Linked DNA regions of Anolis sagrei. The protein of the gene in region 1 purifies or fractionates together with the protein of each later gene. This does not show direct contact. Links are inferred from orthologs where the notes say so. Each region holds a gene or a part of one and is shown in the gene's direction. Other genes may lie near its edges.

Region 1 (7,613 bases):
GGCAAAAAATGCACCCTATTTTTCCCCTAGTAAGTATCCATAAAAATAAAATAAATCTGAAAGTTGCTCAAATATTAAGGATATTATTATTATTCTGTGAAATGAAGGCAATGCAGAAAAATCTGTGTTCGGAGCAATTGCAACTGTCCAGAGGGTCCTTCCAGTCTTATGGAAAGTTTGTGCCCAAGCACAAGGTGTTTTGTGGAGACAGCAAGCCCAGGTATGGAAACTCTCCATTCAGTTCTGAGGCTCTGTGTGGCAACCTGCCTCCGACTTTATTGCTTAGGAGAACTACGTCACAGAAGCTTTTGACCCCAAGACATCATAAAAATGACTCAGCCATTGAAATGACCGCAACATAGAGCATAACAGGTCTTTTTTTTTTCTTGCTGGTGTTAATCAAGGATGCATAGCATTCATTGTGCTATATTTACTCTTACCTGGCTGGCAAATAGGGCTTGGAAACCAAAGCTTTCAGAATCCCAAAGCAAGCATGGGCCATGGCTATCTAAGGAATGGTGTGTGTGTGGGGGGGGGGGGGGGGGAGGTGTTATAATTCCAAAAGTAAGTTTTCCAAACTCTGCTGTCAATTGTCTCAGGGTACATCTACACTATAGAATTAATTCAAACTGACACCACTTTTAACTTCCACAGCTCAAGCCTATGGAATCATGTAGTTTTACACGGGCTTTAACATTCTCTGCCAAAGACTGCTGGTGCCTCGCCAAACTACAACTCTCAGGATTCCATAGGATTGAGCCATGGAAGTTAAAAGTAGGGTCAAACTGCATTCATTCTAGTGTAGATGCACCCCACATTCCATCTGGATAGACATCAGCCCTAGCCAAGACTTTCTGACTCCCAGTCTCACCAAACGATTAACTCCTATGATTCCACAATATTGTCAGACTTTTCCCCAACGTGCTAGAACTCCCAATTGATCCAATGAGACACACACAGGTTGAAGGCGGGAACAGAAATCCATATATTCAGCAATGGTCAGAACGGACATTGGGGGATAGCAATTCCCAAATCTAGCACATTTTCCAACTGTAAATGTGGGCATTATAAAGAGAATTATACACATTTGGTAATGTGACAAACAAAGACGATAGGCGCAGTTCCAGGATCCACAGTTTTATTAGGTGAAATGTCCATTATTGGCCACTGATTGGCTGAGTCTGTGAATCTTAGCTGCTGATTGGGCGAGGAATTTTAATAAACTGTCATTGAATGTATTTTAAACTGCTGTCCGTTTGTGTCCACCTGAAGTTGGGAAGGAATATGGGCTGGGTTCAGGGAACAAGAGGTAGCTGATGGGCTTCTCCTAGTGATATAGGTTCCAGGAGATTTCCAGATGTTTGTCAGTAGCCATTTTAGTGTTCTGATGGGTCATGAGATCAACCTTTTGTCCTAAAGGGTGATGTGTACAACTTAATGGACTGATTGTTTAAGTCATACTTGGGTCTTTGGTGAGCTGGGGAAGCCAGGCTGGGTGCCACTCCTTGCCTGTTGTGTAGGTGTGAGTCGGAAGACGTGTGATGCTTGTGTACCCTTAACTTATGGATGGAAAAGCAGGTTTAGTATGATTTTCCAAAAATTTCCAGAGATGCAACCAGGAAACCGCTCCAGGTGATTTATCCAGGCAACTAGGGCTCCTCCTATTTTGAGGGGCTTTTTTCAGTAACAACAGCATTGAGCCATTGAAGTTAATTTGATGGCAAACTGCATTCATTCTACAACAGGGGTCCTCAAACTAAGGCCTGGGGGCCGGATGCGGCCCTCCAAGGTCATTTACCCGGCCCTCGCTCAGGGTCAACCTAAGTCTGAAATGACTTGAAAGCACACAACAACAACAACAATCCTATCCCATCAGCCAGAAGCAGGCCCACATTTCCCATTGAAATACGAATAAGTTTATATTTGTTAACATTTTAATTATTGAATTGTTTTAAAGTGTTTTTTTCACTACAAATAAGATATGTGCAGCGTGCATAGGAATTCATTCATTTTTTTTTCAAATAATAATCCGGCCCTCCAACAGTTTGTGGGCCTGTGACTTGGCCCTCTGTTTAAAAAGTTTGTGGACCCCTGTTCTACAACATAGATGCACTATTTGGCCTTTTTAGAAAAGCATGACCTTTTAGAAATCATAACCTTTTAGAGAAGTGCCAAAAACCCATTTGAGTAGAATCTTCTCAAGTGATATACAACCAAATATAAATATGCAAGGCAATTGGCTTCAGTTGTTAGACTGAATAACCTATTGTCTCTGATATGTGGAAACACAGAATATGCCAGTGCAGAAAAATTGTAGTTCTTCAGAAGTATTTTTCAGTGCCCAAAATATATATGTACTCTCCCATAAAACAACTTGTTTTATATTATGCACTCATGAGACAAAATAAAGTTGACTTTGGTAAAAAAAATAATAATGGTTTTACTCACAACCTTCATGTGTTCAGCATACACAGGTACACAACCTATTAATTAGCTACAGATATGTTTGAGATAGTTTCTGTGCCATCTGGTCAGAAAATCTTTTATAATAAACAGCAGACAAGTGTTTGCAAGTCTGCAATCTGAGCAGTCCCAAAGTCTAAAGAAGTCTATACTCTGTGCTTGTCCCAGAGAGGATCATGTGGTCTGCAGCCCCTCCCATAACTTCTCATGAAAACATAGAGCAAGGAAAGAAAGCTGCATACCAAAACATACAATAAGTAAGCAACAGGATTGTAGATAAACAAATTACTAGAGGAGGCTTGAAGAAGGTTGTAATTTCCAACATTACAGAAAATTAGGGCAACAACAACAATAATATCTTGGATCCATCCACACATAGGGTGCTTCTTCCAAATGATAGTTCTGTTGTGTTGCGGTCCTACCTCACAGACATGAAAAGGGGTCCTGATGATGACATTGTTTTGTAACATTACTATATTTTCCCATAGCATCTTCTCTCTTTTTTTCATAGTGGAGAAAATCATTTAAGGAGAAGGTGAAATCGACGTGGAATATCTTTTGACTGGTAGCAGAGCCACCTAAGAGGAGATATGAGACTATTCTGCTGTGCCTGCTGACCGCTTATACTTTACATGGAGAACACTGTCATTTTACAATGAGAAGTCTGAAGTAAATCCAGTTGTTAAAGCTTTATAACACCACTCCTTTAGGCTACATTATTCTGTTTGAAATCCACTCCAGTCAGTCTAATGAGGGTAGCTGATGGTTGGTCCTTTCAAACACACCCTGTCCACATTTGCACATTTATTCATCCTTATTATTGACTTGAATATAAATTCCTATACCCAATCCTTATTCTTAACCATCCTGTATTCTGTATATTTTTCCATTTTTAATTAAACCTAGCTGCCATTCCACAGTTGTGGGTTTGACTTTATTTATGGGTTTGATTAAAACATTATCTCTAGGAATCTCTAGGTCTTCTAGTGAAATTATATGATCAGGTTCCAGTGGAAATTTATCATAGTGTCATGCTGGAGGACCTAGAAATTCCTAGGGTCACTTGGGCAGCAGCATTTTTTTAATTCATGATTTTCACTTTTGCGAGGTTATTGTGCCTCTAACCCCAGCAAATGTGGAGGGCTGACTATGGGTAGAATTGGCTGTTTGCAAGGACGTTGCCCAGGGGAGGCCTGGATGTTTGATGTTTTTACAATCCTTGTGAGAGGCTTCTCTCATGTCACCGTATGGAGCTGGAACTGACATAAGGAGCTCAACCTGCTCTCCCCAGATTTAAAATGCTGACCTATTGGTCAGCAATCCTGCCGATACAAAGGTTAACCCATTGCGCCACTGTAGGTATCAGTCAAAACAATATGACTGATACCTACAGACTGATGGATGGTAAAGAACAATCCCCCTCACCGTGCTAAGACAATACCTATCAGCAATTAAGACAATCAAATACACAATTAAATTTTATTCTGTTCCTTCCATAGAAATGTGCCCAGGATGGTTGTTGAAAGGTCTTAATATGACCAATGAACAGCTTTATCGTGCTGGTCAAGTACCGTATTTCTTCAGTTCTAAGCCACACTTTTTATCTATATAAACATGGGGTGTGTCTTGGAATTGCAGGCACATCTTAAGTATTTTTGTTGGTGGTGTTACTGATATTAGTGTGTATCTTAGAATTGAAGAAATACAGTATATCTGGATAAACTTAAGACCTTGTAGAAACTGAACAATTTTAACACTGCTCTCAGATATGAACTGAAATCTTCCGATATTCAAGGATGTCTTAAAAGCTTGCAGGTTTAAAACAACAACAACAACCCAACGGCCTTTCTTTGTACGGACAGGATGAGAAAGTGCAAGGCTTCCTGTTATGTGTGTGTGACAGCTGTAGATAAGTGGGGAGGCCCAAACAGGAAATCTGCCTTACTTCTGCAGCGTGACTTGTCTGAAGCTCAGGAACCATCTTAGATCGAAGCATCAATGGCGTGATGTGCTGTTGTTGCTGATCCAAACATGGGAGACATGGTAAAGGAGAACCTCGAGGAGGAACCTCCGTTGCCTTTGGAAAATGAGGGCTCCAAGACCAGGGGAGAGCTTGTGGAAGTCTCCATCAATGAAAGGGTTAAATTCGATGACACAGGCTTGTCCATGGTCCTGCAGAACGGCTTGGAGAACCTCCGACTAGAAAACTCTCTCACCGATGTCACCTTGTGTGTGGGCAGCATGAGCTTTTCATGTCACCGTGTGGTCCTTGCAGCAGCAAGCAATTACTTTAGGTAAGAGATGCTGAAAATTAACTACGTTTGTGTATTGGGATGTAAAAAGGCAAGTGATGAGACAGGTAAGCATTTTTTTCAACACTTGCTTATATCCTACCTGTACTCTATCCGTTTTCTGAAAAGGTATCCATGCTTTGGTAGTGTGTTAGAAGAAGATGGTAACCAAATGTTATGACTGTTTAAACTTCCGTTTTTAGGGATACAGGAAAACAAATAGTAAGAATACTAGGTTGCTTTTCTTTTTGTCAGTGGACGCTCATTGGTATTTCTTCTTTCTAACTGTAGAAGTCAGTCAAATAAGAAAGCAGTTGGAAAGTAAGGGAAAAAGTGTTTAGTCTCCCATCTTGTGCGGATCCAAGGAGAAAAAGGATCAGATAATTAAAAAATAATAATCCCTTCTGATTATAGTAATAATTGGGCTAATGCTGTAGGGTCTATGAAGTTGAAGACGGAAACATTGTTTATATATTTGGATGTGAAAATGAAATATGCTAAACTGTTCTAGGTATCACTGTGAACTTTTATAGGTAAGTTGTTTCTATGCTCCGCAGCAAACATCTCTATGAACGTTTGTGCAGTTATATACCTGATTATGAAAATTAGCACTATACTAAACAGACATTGATCGTTCCATACTATCCTCTCTTCCTTTCTAGTTAAGTGCCTTATAACATCTTACATCCTCCCACTGTTGAGCAGCCAAGTGTTGCAAGAATCCTGCACTGAAGAAGAGGTTAGATTAGATAATCTCCAAATTAGTTTCAGCAATAACCTATGATTTTAACATATCAGAAGTCAGAGAGATAGCCTTTTGTATGGTATCTTAAACAGTCAATCTTCATAAGTATAGATGAGGATCAGCCATACAGTGGCCAAATGCTGGATGGGACTGATTCATGGTAACATGGGGCAAAGCCATTTTAACACAGTCTTGTCCCATGCTACCCAAAATTATCCTCAATTTAGGCTTAACGCGGTTTAGGGCTAGTGAGGACAGTTGGCCCGTTCTCAAACAGAACCAGCCAAAACTGCCCCCACTGCTATCCTGTGTTTTCGAAGCTCAGGCAGCTATGGGAATCCTTTGGGGACACTTATTGGAGCTGATACAGCATGCCAACCCCAGAATACATGTCAGTGTAGATGTGCTCCAAGTCTACCCAAGGAACAGGCATGTAGCCAGGGGGGGGGGGCCTCGGGGGGCTTCAGCCCCCCCCCCCCCAAATTCTCATGGTGGTTCGCGAAAAGGCCTTACTGGTGCATTATTTAAACTGTTATGTTTATTTATATCATGATCTGATTACCATACTCAATATATCCCATATGCATGGGGGTATTGGGGTAATAATACAAAAGGTTTGCTAGGCTAGACCCTCTTTCACTCAGACTCAGCCCCCACCGAAACTCAGCCCCCCCAACCCCCCCTGAAAAAAATTCAGCCCCCCCCCCCCCGAAACAAAATCCTGGCTACGGGCCTGCCAAGGAAGTCCAAATTAATTAAGATTTTGACTGCTGCTGCTAGCATATGATTTTGCTACTGCACTGTAAAGGCAAAGGTAAAGGTTTCCCCTTCACATTAAGTCTAGTCGAGTCTGACACTGGGGGGTGGTGCTCATCTCCATTTCTAAGCCGAAGAGCCAGCATTGTCCTTAGACACCTCCAAGGTCATGTGGCTGGCATGACTGCATGGAGTGCCGTTATCTTCCCACCAGAACAATACCTATTGATCAACTCACATATGCATGTTTTTGAACTGCTAGTTTGACAGAAGCTGGGCTTAACAGCGGGAGCTCACTCTGCTCCCTGGATTCAAACTGCCAACCTTTTGGTCAGCAAGTTCAGCAGCTCAGCAGTTTAGTCCACTGCTCCACCAGTATGCATATCTCTGTATTTTTTAAATTTTAATGGTAATATCCCAATGCTTGTTTCTCATATATGACATTCAGATATTCATTTACTGAATGCTGATAGGTTTCATGACCTATTGGTCAAAGGATGACATCAATGACAACACCATTCTAGCTGGGTAACTTCTAACTTGGTTTTATTATTCTTCCTATTTTCCTTTGAAGATAAGTTTTTAAAGAGGTATTTGTTAAGGGTAAACATTACTCTCTTTCCCTCCCCTGTAATTTTTCCTTTTCTTGTGTCTTCCTGATATATCATTTACCCAAGGAAAGGCACAACATCATGCTTAGCTAAATTTCTTGGGCTAAATCCACTATTTATTATGTATTTATTGCAGTTATATACCGTTTTCTTTTACCCCTGGGGGGACTCAAAGTGGTTCCCAATATAATCAATGGCAAAATTCAATACCTTACATGTATAAAATATCACGTATCAAATCAACAGCATATTATAATAGATTAAAACCATTGAAACCATAAAACTATAAACAACAATCACAGACACAATGTAAAACATCTGTTCCAATTAGGGTAGATCAGTTAAAACCTATTGGACTTGATGGACTTGAAGCGCGCTTGGTGGGGACTCGAGACAGGGCCTTTTCTGTGGTGGCCCTCCCGACTCTGGAACACCCTCCCAAAAGATCTTAGACAGGCCCCTTCGCTGGCAGTCTTCAGAAAGAACTTGAAGACCTGGCTGTTCCGATGTGCCTTTTCAGATTAGGGACCCCCAATACCAAGTCCTAGAAGCACTTTAGTAGAACCAAGATCACTGCACACTGCACTTACTTTATAATCCTACATACCTCCTGCCACATCAGCACTTTTAATCTTGTACCCATTTCTCTGGCCTGGCCCAGTCTTATAGTGTCTTGATGTCTCGATGTATTGTTATTGCTGTTGTTTATTCTGCTTAACTGTTTTTAATTTGCTTTAGGTATTGTAT
Region 2 (8,369 bases), on another chromosome or scaffold:
ATGACAAAAATCAATCCCTCCCCCAACCTCACCAGTATTCAAATTCAGGCGTATTGGGTATTTGTGCCAAATTTGGTCCAGTGAATGAACATATATCCTCCATATCAGATATTTACATGACGATTCGTAACAGTAGCAAAATTACAGTTACGAAGTAGCAACGGAAATAATATTGTGGTTGGGGGTCAGCACAACATGAGGAACTGTATTAAGGGGTCATGGCTCTAGGAAGGTTTAGAAACACTGCACTAAAAACATGATGATGAAATTATAGTATTGCTAGATGTTTTAAGATGGAATTAAAGAAGGAGGGTCTGCTCACACTCAAATTAGGGAACCCTATATGCAAGAAGAGCTGGGGAGTATGTTCTTGCTTGTGAAAATATAAAAAGACTAGTTTACTAGTGAAAAATCAATGGCTATAAGCAGACAGTGAATTTACATGGAGTCAGCAGCAGTGCGACAGACGACATGGGGTGCTCTGTGTCAAAGCAAAATCCTGAGCAGCTGATAAAAGAGCCCAGTGCTCTTTGACACGCAGGCTGCTGAAGGTTGTGTTGCTATTTCCAGTCTGGAGTTGCATTACAAGATTTAAGGGTAGGACGGCAGGGGAGGTCTCCTTCTCAGGCTTGGCAACTGTCTTCTTATTCTCAGGCCCGGGCGGTAGTCTTTCTCCCGGCTGCCTCCACCCTGAGATTTTGTTTCCCTGACCTCTGTGGATGGGCCTGTCCTAAAAGGTCACAGCCATTCCAAGAAGGCTTGAGAGGAAGAAAAGGCAGCAAACGGTAGAGGTCAGGCAAGGTGACCCACTTCTGCTTGTCTTCAATTCCCATCATGTCCTAGCCTAATGGCTTCCTGCGAGACTTCATCTCCTCCCACCAAGTTTGCAATATGCATTTATTTATTTATTTAGTGTCAAAAGCATTGCTGACCAAAAGGTTGGGAGTTGAATCTGTGAAAGGGGTGAGCTCCTGTTGTTAGCCCCAGCTTTGGCCAACCTAGCAGGTTGAAAACATACAAATGGGAGATCAGTAGGTCACACTTCAGCAGGAAGGTTATTTATTTTATTTATTTATTGTGTCAGGAGCAAACCAAAACAGTTGTATTGCATTAAAAACAAACAAACAAACAAAACACAAAGTTTGCACACTTGGCATTATACTAAATTATCTTTGACCAGTAGCTGGCCACTTGGGAGTGCCTCTGGTGTTGCTGCAAGAAGGTCCTCCATTGTGCTCAAATTGCATTGCAGTAGGTAGTCTGTGGTTTGCTCTCCTCCACACTCGCATGTCGTGGATTCCACTTTGTAGCCCCATTTCTTAAGGTTGGCTATGCATCTCGTGGTGCAGGAAGGTAACGGTGCTCTATGCAGTCATGCTGGCCACATGACCTTGGAGGTGTCTACAGACAACAGGGGCTCTTCGGCTTAGAAATGGAGGTGAGCACCCCCCCCCCCCCCCCCCAGAGTTAGACACGACTAGACTTAATGTCAGGGGAAACCTTTACTTTTACCTAGCTTGGTCAATGGCAGGGCTTCAGCAGAAGCTGTGTGTAAAAATTAACTACTTCCTTTGGTTTAACACAGTGGTCCTCATCCTGTGGATCCCCAGCTGTTTTGGTCTGCAACTCCCAGAAATCCCAGCTAGTTTATCAGCTGTTAGGATTTCTTGGCGTTGAAGGCCAAAACATCTGGGGACCCACAGGTTTGAAACCACTGGTTTAACAGAAAGGACATAACAACAACAACACTTTATTTATATTCTGCCCTTCTCACCCCAAAGGGGACTCAGGGTGGATCACAGTACACATACGTGGCAAACATTCAATGCCGCTTTGTATAGACAATACACAGACAGACAGAATAGAAGGAGGTGCCATGGAAAGTTGGGCTTGAGTCCAGGGGGTGCTGTTCCTCTATCCTCTTATGCCGAAGAGCCGTCAGGACTTCCTCCTTCCTTTTGGTTGCCCAGCATTTTCTGATCTTTTTTTCTTTATGGTGTCGTAAAATACCTCCCCTGTTTTTAGTGGTACCTAATTTCTCTAATCACAGCTAAAGCTGTTTTCAAATTGTTTAGGTAAACAATGAGGTAGGCTAACTCAAAAAGGTTGAACTTATAACCTTTTGGTTGATAGATCTTATAATTGCTGATGATTTACCAGCTTTGCTAAACCTCCGGCCCCAATCTCATATCTTTAATATTTTTACAGTAGTTCTGAACCACTTCAGGTGTACGTACACTTCAGGCTTCCGGGATCTAATTTGTATTTCACAAAAAACTATCACTAATAAAAACAGTGCATGCTAGTCAATTTTGTGAGCTTATTGCAAAATCTGGTTTTGAGAGAGAACAGGTGGAGGTGCTCCTGCAGGGCATTGTTTGTTTGACGTGTCTTATCCCCACCCCTCCCTTCTCAGGGATGTCTGATGCAGCCATCATGGAACTCAACCTCCCGACTGGGATTCCCATTGTGTATGAATTGGATGACAACCTGAAACCTACAAAGCCTATGCAGTTCCTGGGTGATGAAGAGACCGTGAGGAAGGCCATGGAAGCTGTGGCAGCCCAGGGCAAGGTCAAGAAGTGAGAAGACAAGGCATTGGTGAAATAAAACATCTGAAAAACTGACTTGTGTGATTGAGATCTGTCCAGCCAAGGGAGAGGGGTGGCTGACATTTTGCTATGTTGATTATAGCATCATGCTATATGTACATTAGTGGGAAAGAAATAAGAATGTGTCTTAGCTGAGGAAACTGAGTTTGCACATGGCAAGAAACATCAATGGCATCCTTGCTTCATTTGAAACATGCATGGTTCGTCCTCAGTGCCCAAAGAACTGCCTTCAGTTTTATGGGGTAGTTCGGGGGCATTTTTATAAATTGCATTCAAAGTACAAATATACATTGAATAATAGAATGCACTGCAGAATTTAGAACTGCTCCTATATTCCCCATCTTTAGGAGTGCTCCTGCAGTCCCCATTTTTAAATATGACAAAAGCGGATGGGAGTTGTGATATAGCAACACCTGGAAGGCTATAGTTTATTCTATTTAATCGGGGAATGAGGTTTGAAAGTGGATGCAAGGCTTGGGGAAAGGACTCATTACCTTAAAATGTAATTTCAACTTTCCCAATCTCAGAGCCACAATGGCTGCGAGATTGCAATTCCCATTATCCCTAGTCAGCACGGCAAATAATCCAAAGCAATGGGAAGTGTCATTCAATAACACCTGTGGATCCAAATTGGGCAAAAGCTAAAGCGCACCAACCACAATGTATGTCCATAAAGGTGCTGTTCGATTATCCGGGCAGACTCCAAAAGGAGGCCTAGACCAGGCATGGGCAAACTTGGGCCCTCCAGGTGTTTTGGACTCCCAATGCCCACAATACCTAGCAGCCTCAGGCCCTTTCCTTTCCCCCCTCAGCCACTGAGTTGGAGTCCAAAACACCTGGAGGGCCCAAGTTTGCCCATACCTGATGTATATGTGTGCGTGTATATGTATATATGTTTGTCTGTATATATATATGTGTGTGTATACATGTATGTATGTGTATATGGTATATGTGTATATATATGTATGTGTTCGTGTGTATATATATATAGTGTATATAGGGTAAAAGGTAAAGGTTTTCTCCTGACATTAAGTCCAGTCGTGTCCGACTCTGGGGTGTGGTGCTCATCTCTATTTCTACACCGAAGATCCGGCGTTGTCCATATACATCTTCAAGGTCATGTGGCCGGCGTGATTGCATGGAACACTGTTACCTTCCCACCGGAGCGGTATCTATTGATCTACTCACATTTGCATGTTTTCGAACTGCTCATGCCGCTCCCCAGAATCAAACCTGCGACCTTTCAGTCAACAAGCTCAGCAGCTCAGCGTTTTAACCGACTGTGCCACCGGGGTGCCATATATATATATGTGTGTGTGTGTGTATGCATTTCTACCCTGCCCTTCCCCCCCCCCCCCGACCTCACTCAAGCATCATATAATGCTATCAGCATATAAACAATTAAAAATTACATTTAAAACATTAAGAATAATTAGAAACACATACAATTCATTAAACAATAAATTAAACATGCCAATTAAAAGTAAATCCAAGTAAGGAGGATGACATTGTACATGTACATGTTACAACGGCTGTGAAGGCAGAAGAAGGCTGCAAAAGATTGAGAAGCCACGGTCATGTTGGTAAACTATGCCACCCAAGGAACCTCACTCTGTGAAGACTATGTGTTGATCAGTGTGCAATGACCTCCACGCGTTAAAAAAATTCACGCATAGGCGTCTTCCAAGTAAGGGTAATAAAAACATACGTGTATGTGTGTGTATATATGTGTGTGTGTATATATATATGTACGTGTTAGTGTATATATAGTGTGTGTATATATGTGTGTGTATGAGATATATATATATATCTCACACATGTATGTATGTGTGTATATAAAACATACACAGTATATATATATATACAGTGCATATATATATATATATATATATATATATATATACTTTGCTTATATACCGCTGTTCTCAGCCCAGAGGCGACTCACAGGGGTGTACAACATAGGAACAACAAAATTCAAGACATAGTATAAAAACAATTCTGGCCCCAGAGTGGCCGTTGGTGCTGGGGGAGGGGCGCCGATGTCACAGGGGACAAGATGGCAACGTCCTCCTGGCTCTATATATATATAGTTGTTACTATATAGTTGTCCCTTTGTATCCAGGGATTCTCCCTCCATGAATTCAACGGCCCTTTGAAGGTAATCGTGAGGCTGATGGAGTCCTCGATGGAAATCAGCCTGACGCCCATGAGTTCAACCACTGCAACTCTACACTTTCCACTTTTCTTTGAGCGGAACCATTCCATCGGTTGGCTCGAGCGGAAGTCACTCCGGACGTCTTTTCCCAGCGGACGCGGGGCCGGAAGTGCTCCGTCGGCGCCGCAGAGCCGAGGTTACCGTGGCAGCGGGAGGGAGGAGGGGCGGGCGTGGGGCCTTCTTCCGGTGCAGAGGCCGGGGCTGTCCGGCGGGGAGCCTCGCCTTCTCCCGAGGGGGCCATGGAGCGCGCCGGCGCCATGACGGACATGTACGACCAGGCCTTGCTGGGCATCCTGCAGCACGTGGGCGACGTCCAGGGCTTCCTGAACATCCTCTTCGGCTTCTTGTACCGCAAGACGGACTTCTACCGCCTCCTCCGCCAGCCCGAGGACCGGCTGGGCTTCCCTCCCGGGGTGGCGAGGAGCATGGCCCTCCGGGTGAGTCTCCTTCGGCCCAAGGCCCTGCCAAACCCAGCCTTTGCTTATTTATCATATTTTACCAATCAAGCTGTCTGTCTGTCTATCTATCTATCTATCTATCTATCTATCTATCTATCTAAATGCTCTGTGCATAATGAGTACCTTAAAAACAAAAGAACCAATGAACGAAATCACACCACATTTGGCAACAAAACGTCTCAAAACACAAGGAGTGACCATCACTCAAAAAATCATGATTTTGTCCTTTGGGAGTTGCTCTTGCTGGGATTTTTAGTTCATCTACAATCAAAGAGCATTCTGAACTCCATCAACGATGGAATTGAACCAAGCTTGGCACACAAAACTCCCATGAGTAACAGAAAATACTGGAAGGGTTTGGTGGGCATTGACCTTGAGAGTTGTAGTTCACCTACATCCAGAGAGCATTGTGGACTCAAACAATGATGGATCTGAACCAAACTTGGCACAAGCACTCAATGCACCCAAATATGAACACAGATGGCGTTTGGGGGAAATAGACCTTGACATTGGGGGTTGTAGTTACTGGGATTTATAGTTCACCTACAATCAAAGAGCATTCTGAACCCCACTAATGACACAATCGGGGCAAACTTTGCACACCAAACCCCCATGACCAACAGAAAATACTTAGGGCTATACGGTGCAACTCAAGTAAAAGTAATCAAAACCCTCCTGACAAAGAACCATCCAGCCATAGATATAGATAGATAGATATGGTTCACACACAGAGAGATATAGTATCATAGATTTGAAAGGGACCCCTGAAGAAGGACAATGATACGTTGCATGTTCCAGAGTAGGCAAACCAGACACTCTCCGCATCAACACTGACAAAGAAACAGCAAAAAATACTGTTTACCCACAAGCATAAAGAAATTACATTTATTCGAAACCAACACTTCCTCATTACTTTATTTTCCGGATCGCCAGACTGGGCCACGACAACGCGTGGCAGGGGACAGCTAGTTTACTATATTTCTACTCTGTTTTTCTCACCCCGAAGGGGACTCAGAGCGGCATACAGTTTGGCCACTTCAGTGCCTCATTGCAAATACACAGTGTATAAATAGAATACAATACAAATCAAAGCACAATGGACATAAAATACAAGACCAAAACCACACAAGGCATAATAACATTCAGAAATAAATTATAATAAATATTAAGCATTAAAAATATTTAAAACCAATTACAAATATTTGCTAACTTCACTCATCAGTGATAAACATGAGCCAGTGAGAAAATTAAGAAAAGTCTCCATAAAATAAAATCTATATAAATAAAAATGTAATGTTCATTTGTGAGCTTAACATAACTCAAAAACCATTGGACAAATTGACATCAAATTTGGACACAATACACCTATCAGGCCAACAAGTGACCATCACTCATAAAAACACTGAAAAACACAGCGGAAGGGACTTTAAAAGGCCCAAAAACCAAAAAGATGCTATAGCGGTTGCACAAAAATGACTCCCCTGGCAAATAAAACACACAATAGCAAATCCACACTCTCTTCCAGACTACAGCTCCCAGCATCCCCTAGACCAGGCCCTTTAGGAGAAGAGGATGATCTAAATGTACTGCTTTCAAGCTGCAAGATTTATTCTCCTTTGAGATCTTTGAGAGCATCCCAATTGCTGCGTATTTCCAATTTCCTATTCCTGGACTGAAACTCCCAGATTAGATAGATTTATATAGGAAGGTAGGTAGATCGATCAGGAGGACTGCTGGGAGTTGCAGTCCAAGAATAGGTAGAGAAGGAAGAAAGGGGAGAAAGAGGAAGGGAAAGAAAAGGGGGGAAGGGAAGAGGAAGAGAATGAAGGAAGGAATGAAAGGTAAAAAGGGAAGGAAGGAAGGAAGGAGAGAGAAGAAAGTTGGCCACAGCAAGGCGTGGTGGGTACAGCTAGTAAATAAAATAAAATCTGAAAACAAAACAAAAACAAAAGTCCCCACTCAAGCCCAGGAGGAACAGAGTCGAAAGATGAGTGTAGGCAGAGAAGTCAGTGGCCTCAAACCAAGCCAAGCCCAGTTTCAGTACTAAGTTGATGGTCAAAGGGGGGCTGGTTGGTAAAATTCAGGCTATGGATAGCTAGTGGTAAGGCCACAGCATGGTAGCAGGAAAAGGTGGCAATGGTAAAGGAATATACTTAGGAATATACTTCTGGCATGTGCGAACTTCAGCCCTCCCTACCGCCAGGTGTTTTGGACTTCATCTCCCACAGTTTAGGAATGATGGGGCTTGAAGCCCAAAACACCTAGAGGACCCAAGTTTGCCCATACCTGATATAATTATTCCCCCTGTCAACGCTGTCAGGTAGTAAAAGCTGAGAAAATGGTCTTATTCCTGGATCACATTGTATTTCTTTTTGTTATTATTATCAACTTTGGCCCCCTTGTGGCGCAGCAAGTTAAACTGCTGAGCTGCTGAACTTGCTGACCAAAAGGTTGGCGGGTTGAATCCTGGGAGTGGGGTGAGCTCCTGCTGTTAGCTGTAATGTGTTTATTAATAACATGTATTGTTTATACACCCACTACCCTGTTAGCCCCAGCTTCTGCCAACAATTGTTTTTAGATTGTATGATAAATATCTTAACTGCCCATTTTTGAAGCCATTATGGAATAAAGGTGGATATGAATTAAATCAATTAGTACTTAGCTTTGAAAGCCACTCGTAATACAAGCGTTTGACCATGTTTAGGGATTATGAATCACTATACTTTTAAACTTAGTGAGTGATCATTGTTGCGCTTTATGAGAATGAATATTGCTCATAGCCTCTATTTTATATCTTGTTGGTTCTTTTAGTATTTTTAATTGATAGGGGTTTTATTGTTTTTTTAAATGTGTAATGGGGTTAATATTATTGTTATTAATTTAACTTTTTATATTTTGTTGTATGTTTATTTTGTGGCACTGAGTTCGTCCTGTGAACCGTGCCACAAAATAAACATACAACGAGATGGTGGGAGGAAACAAAGATGATGATGATTATTATTACAGGAAGTATTGTCCTCTTCCTGAATTGATTGATCTATTTGCCAGGTCTCCTATGATTATAGGTTAACAATTAGCTTCCAA

What was found. Proteins that work in one complex are often made in the same cells at the same time.
Region 2: the proteins of KLHL6 (region 1) and NUDCD3 purify together in Homo sapiens (affinity purification with mass spectrometry; 3 studies listed by BioGRID and IntAct, counting the BioPlex papers as one, with this or other methods). This does not show direct contact. The link is inferred for Anolis sagrei from reciprocal best matches to the Homo sapiens genes KLHL6 and NUDCD3.

The regions. Positions count from the first base shown.
Region 1 is NC_090023.1:219,354,673-219,362,285, forward strand, and holds the start of KLHL6 (kelch-like protein 6), read left to right. Parts: upstream 1-4,421; 5' UTR 4,422-4,494; coding exon 4,495-4,757; intron 4,758-7,613. UniProt on the Homo sapiens protein: Involved in B-lymphocyte antigen receptor signaling and germinal center formation.
Region 2 is NC_090027.1:15,421,829-15,430,197, forward strand, and holds the start of NUDCD3 (nudC domain-containing protein 3), read left to right. Parts: upstream 1-4,935; 5' UTR 4,936-5,066; coding exon 5,067-5,264; intron 5,265-8,369. Other genes in the region: PGAM2 (phosphoglycerate mutase 2), read left to right, coding at 2,417-2,586.